Mus musculus: one gene and its partners. The protein of the gene in region 1 interacts with the protein of each later gene in a pairwise test. Links are inferred from orthologs where the notes say so. Each region holds a gene or a part of one and is shown in the gene's direction. Other genes may lie near its edges.

Region 1 (3,751 bases):
ACTCACTGTGTGTGAACACGTGGGTGCAGGCACAATATCCATGTATGTATAATCAATAAACAAATCTAAACAAGAGAGACACAGAGAGAAAGAGTCAGACATACAGAGACACTCAGAGATAAAAAGACAGAGAGAAAGAGAGACAGGGAGGAAAAGAGCCAGAACCAGAGCTGCAGAGAGACAGCCAGAGACAGAGAGATAGCGGGAGACAGAGAGTAGAGGTAGAGTCCGACACAGATGGAGACTAACAGAGAGACAGAGAGACAGTGGGAGACAGAGAGTCTAACAGAGACACAGGCAGAGATTGACAGAGACATAGAAACTCAGGGAGAGGCATAGAGACAAAGACACAAAGAAACTCAGAGAGGCAGGGTCTGAAATAGTGATGAAGATAGAGAAGCAGAGACTAGAGGCAATGGAGAAGATACAGAGCAATGGGGAGACAGAGATATAGAGAGCCCTGAGGAAGTGAGGGAAGAAGGGAGAAAGACAGAGAGGCACAGAGAAAGAGAGAGAAACTGAGGCAGAAAAAGGGAGAACCATCAAGAACTACACATTTGAATTAGTTCACTCAGTGGGGTCACAGATCTCTCTTCCCAGTTATTCTAGCTGTGTCAGAAGACTTAAAAGTTCAATACTAGCCTGGGCCACAAAGAACAACCCAGGAAGTCCTGTGCCTTTCTTTTCTGTCTCCCAGGAGCACTGTACACTTCTTTCTGTGCTTTTGAAGACATTTCTTTTCAGATAGTAGCTGAAGCTGGAGGAATACCCTTTAGACCCAAGGAAAGACTTCCCTGAGAAGTGGGGGCTCCTGGTTGCAGGCAGGAGTTGGGCTTTCCCTCCCTTCTTCATCAACCCTAATTGCCAAGATGTCACTGTGGGGGTGGTGGGATTAAGCAGACGGTGCCCTTCCCCCAGCCAATGTCACCTCCTGTTGCCCAGTGAGTCCCCCACCTTCCCTGGGATTACCCTTCCAGATCCAGGCCACAATAGATGACATCACTCCCAGCCCAGGCTTAAAGTCGCCCCGTGTGAGGGGACCTATTTCCTCTAGCCTCTGCTGTCTGATGACACCATCCAGTACCTGAACATCCAGGAGAGTCCCCATTTCTCCTTTCCAAAGGTGAGTCTTTCCAGGAGAGGCTGCGAGAATATTTTATTCTCACCCATGTTTGACATGAAGATGGGTCTTGTGATGCTTTCTGAACAGATTAACATAGGGTAGAGATTCCAGCAGGTGTTCAGGGAAACAGGTCACTTAGGACCATGATAGGAGGGAGTAAAGTCATACCAGTTGGGGACTAGTTGTTGGGATCCAGGAGTGGCTTTAGGATGAATGGATTTTATACTCTGAGGACATTCAGAGGTGGAATGTCTCATCTAAGCACACATCCATGGTGTGTGAGCATGTTCATGTGTTTGTGTGTATGTATGTCTACAATGTGTGTGTGTGTCCATGTGAGAGAGCAACCTCGGAGGACAGAGATAGACATACTGGTTGTCTTCCTAAATACTTCCATTTGCTATTTTTTCCTAGACCTCTCTATGTAGACCAGGCTGGCCTTCATCTGATGGATCTTCCTGCCCCTGCCACCCAAGTACTTAAGGTTAAAGGTGTTCACCACCACACCCAGCCTATTTCAGACAAGGTCTTTCACTGAACCTGGATCTCCCTGTGGAGCAGAGGCTGGCTGGACAGTGAGCCCTGTGTATCTGTTTGTCCCTGTTCCCCCAATGCTGGGGTTATAGTGTGCCCAGCTTTTATCTGGGTGCTGGGGTTCTGAACTCAGATCCTCACGTATGCACAGACAGTGCTTTATCTGTTGAGTCTTCTCCCCATTCCCCCGAAAGAAACCTTTTACATTTAATTTATGTTTTTTGAGAGGGAGTCTTTTGGAGCATAGAGTGGTCTTGAACTTGTTCCGTAACAGAGGCTGGTCTTGAACTCCTGATCCCGTGTACTACTGCTCCCGCTTGTTTTTTTTTTTAACTCTTTGTGATTTTTCTTCTCTGTTTGTAAGGTATATATTCATTATATAAGTATACATGCATATATATTTAGTGTGTGTGTGTCTTCTGACTCCTTTGTTGAAGTCAGATGACAACTTGCTGGAGTCTGAGTCAGTTCTCTGCTTCCACCATGTTTGATTCTTAGGAATCAAACTCAGGGTTTTAGGCTTGGTGGCAAGTGTCTTTATGGTTGATCCCTCCTGTGGCCCCTGAGATTTCCTCTTCGTTTGTGTATATACCAATACATAGATCATCTCTCCCTGGAGAACGCTGGTTCTTTTCACTGCCTGGCACTTGGGTGCTATTTGACTGTTGACAGGATGGATCCCTGTCCTATTAGATTGTTTATTAGTTAAAACACGGGCTGGGGCTGTAGCTCAGTCAAAAGATAAGCGCTAACATGTTCTACACAGCTATTTGCTCACATACAAATGGGAAAAAAATTACACTTAACATTTTTCTCTTTTTTCAAAACTATTTATATTTTTATTCACTTTACATTTGGATCACAGCTCCTCTCCCTCCTGTCTTCCTCCTCACATATCCCTTCTCTCTTTTCTCCTCCCCCTTCTCCCTCAAGAAGGGGAGACTCCCTTGGATACCACCCCACTCTGGGACATTTCAGCAGTTCTAGGAACATCCTGACCCACTGAGCCTCATCCAGGGAGTCCAAACAGTGGGGAAGGGGATCCAATGGCAGGGAACAGAAACCGAGACAGCCCCTGTTCCACTTGATAGAAGAACCACACGAACACCAAGTTGCACATTTGCTACAGATGTGTGGGTCTAGGTCCAGCTCCTGCATTGAGCTGAACATTTTGAGGCCAATGTGGCTGCTAATTTCTGTTCAATGCCAGCTCAACATAGTAAACTGGAATTCTTTCTCTGAGGTCGAGAGCAGGGCTGATGGCTAATGTTTCTAAGGACGCAAGTTACAGACGTTGAGTTTTGAAGGAAAACACCAATATTACTGACATTTTTTTGTTTATTTTTTCCTCAATGGCTGAGGCAACTCTTGTAGTGTCTGTGGTCCAAAAAATTACAGAGACATGTAGCAGGACATAGTGGTATATGCCTTTAAATTCTAGCATTCGGAAGGTAGAGGCAGGCAGATCACTGTTGGTTTGAGGCCAGCCTGGCCTACAGAGTAATTTCTAGGCTAGCCAGGACTTCATAAACTTTATATCAAAGGGAAACCTTGTCTTTATAAAAATGTGGGAGTTGGCTGGCTCAGTGGTTAAGAGTACTGGCTGCTCTTCAGGGAGACCTGGATTCCCATTCCAAGCACCCACAGGGGGGCTCACAGCTGTTTGTAATTATGGTTCCAGGGCACCCAATACTGCTTTCTGGCTTCTTCTGATGGTACCAGGTGTGTTTGTGTTCATAGAAATACATGCAGACAAAACACTCATATACAAAAACACCAACACAAAGAGAGTAACAAAAAAAAAATCCCAGAAACAGCAAAGTTTGATATTACTGTTGCATCTGTCTGTCTATCTATCTATCTATCTATCTATCTATCTATCTATCTATCTATCTATCTATCTTTTAAAAAGATTTATTTATTTAATTTACTTTTATGGGTACACTGTAGCCGAACAGATGGGATTGAATTTTTAGGATCTCTGCTCCCCAGTTAACCCTGCTCTCTCTGGTCCAAAGATTTATTTATTATTATACATAACTACACTGTAGCTGTCTTCAGACATGTCAGAAGAAGGCATCAGATCTCATTACA
Region 2 (3,751 bases), on another chromosome or scaffold:
TTTTTGTCTCCTTTGAGAATTACCTTAGAATTGGTTTCTATAAGCTTAAAGGCTCAAGTTGGGCACTAGGGATATAGCCAGAGGAAGAATTTGTTTTGCATCAATCTCTAGGAGGAAGAGAGAGAAGAAAAGGGAGAGTAGGAGAGAGGGAGGGAGCAAAGAGGGAGCGAGAAAGGGAGGAAGGGAAGGAGAGGGAGGGAGGGAGGGAGGGAGGGAGAGAGGGAAGGGAAGGGAAGAGAAGAGGGAAAAGGAAAGTAAAAGAAAATACGTTTTAAGCCAGGTTGTGGTGCTCACACTTGTAATCACAATATTCAGGAGGGTCGAGACAGGAGGATTACTTGAGCAACATGAGTTTCACTTGCAGAGGATCCAGCGCCCTCTTCTGGCCTCTTCAGGCACTGCGCACTCAGCACACAGACATGCAATTAGGTAAAAACACTCATACTCGTACAATAACACTAAATAAACATTTAAAAGACAAAAACAAAAGAAACGAAGCAATGAGGCCATCTTTTTTTAACCTCAAAAACTTTTCATAGACAGACTCTAAATCTGTCCCTTGTAACTCATTAAAATCTTTTTATATCAGCCTCCCACCTAGAATATCTGCTTAATAGTATTTTCCTTAATTATTTCATGAAAGATTAAGAGAAGTAAAAATAATTCTAGTATTCCTACAGTCCAAATTGAGACATACATTACTTTAACAAATACATTAGCAATGCATTAACAAATGCCATTGGATCAGGCATGGTGGCATGCACCTGTAAGACCAAAAAACAGAGACACTGTAAAAAAAAAAAAAAAAAAAGGCAATTTTCTTTTACGAGGGGACAGGGGACACGATGGCCATTGTTTGTGCACTTCCATACCCAAATCATAGCTTACTGCATGGTACAGCTCACCACCAGGGTTACTGAGTAAGAGTTGGCCAACTGAAGAAAGTTGTGGACAGGAAAAGTTAAAGGCAAGAACACAGTAGATCTTGTGTTTGATGGGGGGGGGGGGGTACGAAGAGAAAGTTATCTTCACTATGTTTTTCTGAAATCTACAACTGCTCATGGACCCTAGAGGACTATTCTCAGGACACCCTAGAACTTGAGCGACAACTCCAGGAATGAAGCTGAGTGATTCCCGAGGTCCGGAGCTCGCGGGTGAGGGGCCTTGTGCAGTGAGATGGCCTGATGCCTCACACCCTGGGGCCACAAGCGGCACCAAAGTGATGTCTGAACTTGAGGAGCCTGAGGGGAAGAAGGCCCAGGCGGCGGGAGACTCAGTGGGAGGAGCCTCTGGGAGGGGCGGTGCTACAAGGGGAGGTCCCTATAAGAGAGGAACTCTGAGGCTGAGCCAGCGGAAGGAAGGCGTGCAGGTGCTGAGCTTGAGGTGAGTGAAGGGAACTTCTGAGACGGAGTGGTGGGTGCGCTGAGGGTGCTACCTGAAGAGGGACTCCAGAGAAAGGTGCCCGAAGTGGGGACTCTCTTCAGCAGGTACCTGAGAAAAAATTCGCCTGAGGGAGTTACCAGAACTCGGGGTTGACGGGTTGCCCCAGAAAGAGACTCCTGAAGGAACATGAAGGGAAGGTCTGAGGGGGGACACCAACCGGGTGTCTGGAGGCGTACCTTCCAATTGAAAAATAGTTGCCTAAGTGAGCGACTTAGGTTCTAGGCTGGAGCTTTGGAGCACTAGAGCGTTGCTTTTGTTTGCTGGGGAAGGGGTAACCAAGCAGGAAAGCCTGAGGGACTTGCCCTGGGGAAGGCATCTGAGGTGGACTCTTGAGGGAGCGGAGCCTGAGGTGACCATATCTGAGGGGCAGTGCCTGAAGGAGTTCTCTTGAGTAATCTCCTGAGGAGTTCCCTCGAGAGGCCGTGCCCGAGGTGAGCTTTCCCAGAGATGGCGCTCTCTCTAGGACCAGACAGCCTGACTGAATGGTAATAATGTTCAGTCTTCAGACCTCTGGGCTAAGGAAAGACTGAAGGGCTTGGGAGTCAGAATTGCGCCTCAGAGGTTGGTTTGAGAACACACCTTAGATCCGTGTATCTGGGCGGGTACGAAGGTGCAGCCCGAGAACTGCATCACCATCGCTGGGTCGGTGAAGTCCACTAGGGCTTGGTCGCTTGAGGGGTGACAGGACTAGAGAGGCCCAAGGCCTAAGACCCGCTCTGGCCAGAGCCCTCTGACTGACTGACAGAAGGAAGAATTAATTCATTCTCATTCTTTCATTCATTCATTCTTTCATTCATGCATGCATTCTTTCCCCCTCAATGTCGTGTGTGGGGGGAGGAGTCTGCCTGTCCCCCCCATCTCTGTCTCTGTCTCTCTAACTCTGTCTCTCTGTCCCTCTCTCTTCTCATCTGTCTATCTTTCTGTCTCTGGTCTGGAACTAAGGGTGATATCTCTGTTGGGGTTCAGGAATCACCACACAAAACATACAATCACTGATCTCAGTTAAGCAGAATAGTTTATGTGAGACATAGCTCAGAATTATCTGAAGTATAACAATGGACATCTTTGTCTGTTAGCTTATAAAGGGAAAAAACATGAAAACTATAATGAGTACAGGAAGTACTACCCAGTGGGCCAGCTCTGACTCAAGGTATTTTAGACATAACAACTCATAATTGACCTTTAACTTGATGGGTCCTAGGTGAAGCTTTGTAGAATTTCTTAAGATTAACAAACCACATAACATAACATAACATAACATAACATAACATAACATAACATAACATGGTATGTCATCAGCATGATCCTGTTCTGAGTCAAGTTATTCTTTTTCTTGTCAGTGGCTGGCAGGCATATTACAGCAATATGAAATAACTGTCAGGCATGGAACAAAATTGCTGCAGTTATGCTGGTGGAATCAGATCAGACCATAACAATTTCTGCCTCTGTCTTTCCAGAGCCAAGGTTACAGGTGTGACTCACTGAGCATGTTTTAACTTCTTCAGTAAGAAGGAAACAATGAGCTATGAAGGTCAAAGAAACTTTGCTTTTGTCTCCTCTCCCCCGAGGAAACCTTGACTTTTTAAAGACTCTTTTTAAAAACTATTAATTTATCTTTTTTTTAAAAAATGGAGGATAGTGTCCATGAAGGTAAAAATTCTTAAAACCCACAAAAAGTATGGTTTTGTTTGTGCTACTAGGATGGAATCTAGGACCTGCACATGCTAGACCAGTATTCCCCCACAGGACAACACCCTTCTGACAACACACATACACACACACACACACACACACACACACAGAGAGAGAGAGAGAGAGAGAGAGAGAGAGAGAGAGAGAGAGAGAGAGATTTTAATGGAACCCAACTCAAGGGAGAACAATTGAATCATTTACAGAACAGTAAACTGTCCTTAGAGGTATAAACACACAGCACAGATGTAAAGGAACCCAAATCTCGTGAGAAAATCTTAGAAAAGAAAGTATTCAAAGAGCTGGAACCTGAATGTGTTTGTGATGAAAGAAGCCTGAAGAGTGAGCAGCCCGCTGCAAGCTTCAAGCCTGGCTCAGGGATGGAAAACACAAAGACAAAACAAAAAGACAAAAACTTGAAGCCAGGATGAAGAGTTTTAGATTTTGATACAAGCATAGTTGAAGCCCATTGAGAGATTTTAGTACTAAAGTAACTTGTTTTAGGATGGTTCAAGTCCAGCTCTGGGGTTAAGCGCATTACATAGGAAAAAACATTCAGGGGATGTTCTTATAAAAGGAGAGTTTATGGGGTCCAAACACTTCAGATGCACTATTTGAC
Region 3 (3,651 bases), on another chromosome or scaffold:
CTGGTCCTCTAAATTCTTCTAGCCTGTGTTTTACTTTATTTACTTATTTTTAAATTTATTTTATGTGCGTTGGTGTTTTGACTGCATGTGTTTGTGTGAGAATGTTGGATACCCTGGAACTGGAATTACAGACAGTTGTGAGCTGGCATGTGGGTGCTGGAAATATAAATTTCATTGTTATTAGGGCATATTTTTATTTGTTTTGGATGGCATGAGTAGAACTGGTTGCTAGGTCATAGGATAATTGTGTTTAAGTGTTAAACCAGTTAAATCATTTTAACATTGCTACCTTTAGTTTCTTCCTGCCCCTGCCTTCTTAAACACTGGGATTTCAGGTGTGGTCCACTGTTTGCCGTGATTATGTCATGTCTTACAGTATAAAGCACTGTGGTGGCGTTGCTGGTGAGTGGTCACTGAGATACTTTAGTACTTAGTGTACGCTTATTAAAGTGACTGTTCTCTTTCAACCCTTAGGACAGCGAGGACGTGCGAGTTAGTTGCCCAGTGCCTGCAGAGGACGGACAGACAGACTGCACTTCTGCGCCGCTCAGCATAAGTCCTAGTCCTCCGTGTACAGCTGAGCCTCCTGTGTTAAGGTACATTTTCTCTTCTTTTCAAGAATAATAACACAACCTTTTTTTGTTTTGTTTTGTTTTTTTTTTTGGTTTTTCGAGACAGGGTTTCTCTGTGTAGCCCTGGCTGACCTGGAACTCACTTTGTAGACCAGGTTGGCCTCGAACTCAGAAATCCGCCTGCCTCTGCCTCCCAAGTGCTGGGACTAAAGGCGTGCGCCACCACCGCCCAGCTATAACACAACCTTTTATTTTCCTTTTTTTCTTTTTCTTTTTTTTTAAAAAGATTTATTTATTTATTATCTCTAAGTACACTGTAGCTGTCTTCAAACACACCAGAAGAGGGCATCAGATCTCACTATGGATGGTTGTGAGCCACCATGTGGTTGCTGGGATTTGAACTCAAGACCTTTGGAAGAGCAGTCAGTGCTCTTACCTGCTGAGCCATCTCTCCAGTCCAAACAACTTTTTCTTAAGCTGGTACTGCATCACTGAATTTTAGCCCTTGATAGACTGGGAGAAGAGGATTGCAAGCTGAGTCCAGTCTTGGCTGTCCAGGGAGACCCTTCTCAAGGAGTGGGGATCAAGCCAGTTTGATAGCTCAGCAGTTAAGAGCATTTACTGTTATTGCAAAAGAGCCATGTTTAGTTTCCAAGTACCCATGTCAGGCAATGCTCAACTGCCTATAACTCCAGCTCCAGGGAATTCCATAACCTTTTGGACTCATGTGGACATAAAAACACAAACCATTTACATAATTAAAATATAAATCTTGGGCTGGAGAGATGGCTCTGATTTATATTTTAAGTCCCGAGTTAAAATACCAGCAACCACATGGTGCCTCACAACCATCTGTAATGGAATCTGATGCCCTCTTCTGGTGTGTCTGAAGACAGCTACAGTGTACTCACATAAAATAAATAATTCTAAAAATAAATAAATAAATCTTTAAATTTGTCTATCAATCTATCTATCTTGGGCTTGAGAATTGGCTCATCAGTTAAGAACTCTTACTGATGCTGCAGAGAACTAGAGTTCAATTTCCAGGACACAGTGGCTCACAACAATTTTCATTGGGACTGGCCACACATGTGGTGCACACATAAAGACAAAAACCATACACATAAGAAAATAATAACGTAAATGACCAGAAATACAAACTTTAATCCCCAAACATGAAGGGTAGAGGCAGGTAGAAAAAAAGGAAAATAAAAGGTTGTGTTATAGCTGTGTGTGGTGGTGCACGCCTTTAGTCCCAGCACTTGGGAGGCAGAGGCAGGCGGATTTCTGAGTTTGAGGTCAGCCTGGTCTACATAGCAAGTTCCAATAATTTCTGCTGCTCCTACATAGTAAGATCCTTTCTCAAAAAACTAAATGTAAAATTTAGATAATAAAAGAGATGGGGAGAAGGGGGGGCCTCAACTTTGCAGAAAACAGTTAGGGCCTGCCCACAGCCAAGGGGGAAGCCCACTCTGTAGAGTACTGCAGAGGACTGTCCCCTCCTACTTAATGTCAGTGCCACTAAGCAGGAAACAGAAAACTCAGGGTGTGAAGACCTTACCAGCTACTAGCTAGCGTGCAAGGAAAGGGGACCATCCTGTGTCTTGGGAGCCAGGACACACAGGCAGGAGGCAGAGGCTCCTAGTTTAGTTAAGGACAGGAGGCTGAGGCCCAGGCTCAGGAAGAACAAAGGGGATTTTGGAGGTAGGCTTTTTTATCGAGTTAAAAAACAGGCACATTGTCCAACTTCTCCCTGTGGCCCCCAAGCTGCTGGCCCAGCCCCTGACACTATCCCTCTCCCTACAAAAGCAAAGGGACTAAGGATGGGGGCAGAAGATGGGAAGTTCTGAGGATAGGAAATGTCTGGGTGGCCAGAGAGCACCTGTGAGCAAGCCACCAAGCACAGGAAGGACAGGTTTGAAGCTGCTCGTCCCTTTGTGGGACAGGGCAGAGCCAGGAGGTGCCCGAGAACATTCTAGCTCAAGCACAGAACCCCATGTAGCATGACAGAGGACAGGGGACTGCTTTGGCAGGAGGCAAAGGGAAGCAGAACTAGGGTATGAAAAGGTCCTGGCAAGTGCCACTCAGCCAGCTCACTCCAGCTGCTTCCAGGAAAGGCCCAGCCTGGCTCATCTCTGGGGCAAAACCCTGGAATCCAAAGGGGGTTTGGGGGAAGAGGGGTGGGCAAGGCTTGAGACAAGTGAGCTGCTCTCATATTCCTTCTCAGAGGACCCCATTTGAGCCCTGTAATCACCAGGCCCAAGGCAGGCAGAGTGAATGCACTTCTTGGAGAGCAGAGAGAAGTTGGACCCACAGGTCAGCCCTGGAGCAGCACGCTGCTCTTTACTCCCTGAGGAGTAAGTTATATAGTATTCTTTGATTTCTTTAGTTTGATCATATCCTCCCTTTTCTCTGTTCCCAATTCTTCTGTTTTTATAATTCACTGAGTGCAGTAGACATGGGCTCTTCACTGGAGTTTGGATCCCATCCCCTCCCAGGGACACCACTGAGGGAAACTGACTCCTCACCCCATCACCCTCACAGCTCAATTAGACTAAGTCTAATACCAAACTTGTTTTTTCTTTAGCACGACTCAGCAAGAGCAGGATCAGATGGAGGACTCTGCTGTTCCAAAGGACACTCTCAACCCAGTAGCTGTGCCAGTGTCTTCTCCAACTGCCACAAAGCCATCCCCGGCAAACACGGCTTCACCTTGCACTAGTAACATAAACCCACCGAGAGCTGTGGCCCTGCAGGTAATGTGAAAAGTTTATATGGGAGAAAGTACACTAGTTTACACGATAACCCTTTTTTGTTTCTTTCCCCCTCTACCCCCTCTTTTCTATCTGTGCCACTTTCTTTCTCTCTCTCTCCCCTACCTACAAACTCACACCTTTTCCCCGTGTCAAGTTCCCTGGCCTCGGTCTTTGGGTCCAGCAAACTTGCCTGTCTAAGAGCAGCTTTCCAATAAACCCGTATTTAATAGAATCTTTTAAGAAAAAGAAAACTTTAAAAAGAAAAGAAAAAACAACATGGCACATTGTCATGTACACACAAGACATAGTATAAGTAACATAAC

What was found.
Region 2: the proteins of Crx (region 1) and M1ap interact in binary tests that used the Homo sapiens proteins (3 or more experiments, as listed by UniProt). The two-hybrid records come from large-scale screens. The link is inferred for Mus musculus from reciprocal best matches to the Homo sapiens genes CRX and M1AP.
Region 3: the proteins of Crx (region 1) and Larp4 interact in binary tests that used the Homo sapiens proteins (3 or more experiments, as listed by UniProt). The two-hybrid records come from large-scale screens. The link is inferred for Mus musculus from reciprocal best matches to the Homo sapiens genes CRX and LARP4.

Annotation. Positions count from the first base shown.
Region 1 is NC_000073.6:15,877,188-15,880,938, reverse strand, and holds the start of Crx (cone-rod homeobox protein), read left to right. Parts: upstream 1-983; 5' UTR 984-1,123; intron 1,124-3,751. UniProt on the Homo sapiens protein: Transcription factor that binds and transactivates the sequence 5'-TAATC[CA]-3' which is found upstream of several photoreceptor-specific genes, including the opsin genes.
Region 2 is NC_000072.6:82,945,570-82,949,320, forward strand, and holds the start of M1ap (meiosis 1 arrest protein), read left to right. Parts: upstream 1-1,352; 5' UTR 1,353-1,383; intron 1,384-3,751. UniProt on the Homo sapiens protein: Required for meiosis I progression during spermatogenesis.
Region 3 is NC_000081.6:100,007,133-100,010,783, forward strand, and holds part of Larp4 (la-related protein 4), read left to right. Parts: intron 1-474; coding exon 475-596; intron 597-3,159; coding exon 3,160-3,328; intron 3,329-3,651. UniProt on the Homo sapiens protein: RNA binding protein that binds to the poly-A tract of mRNA molecules. Associates with the 40S ribosomal subunit and with polysomes. Plays a role in the regulation of mRNA translation.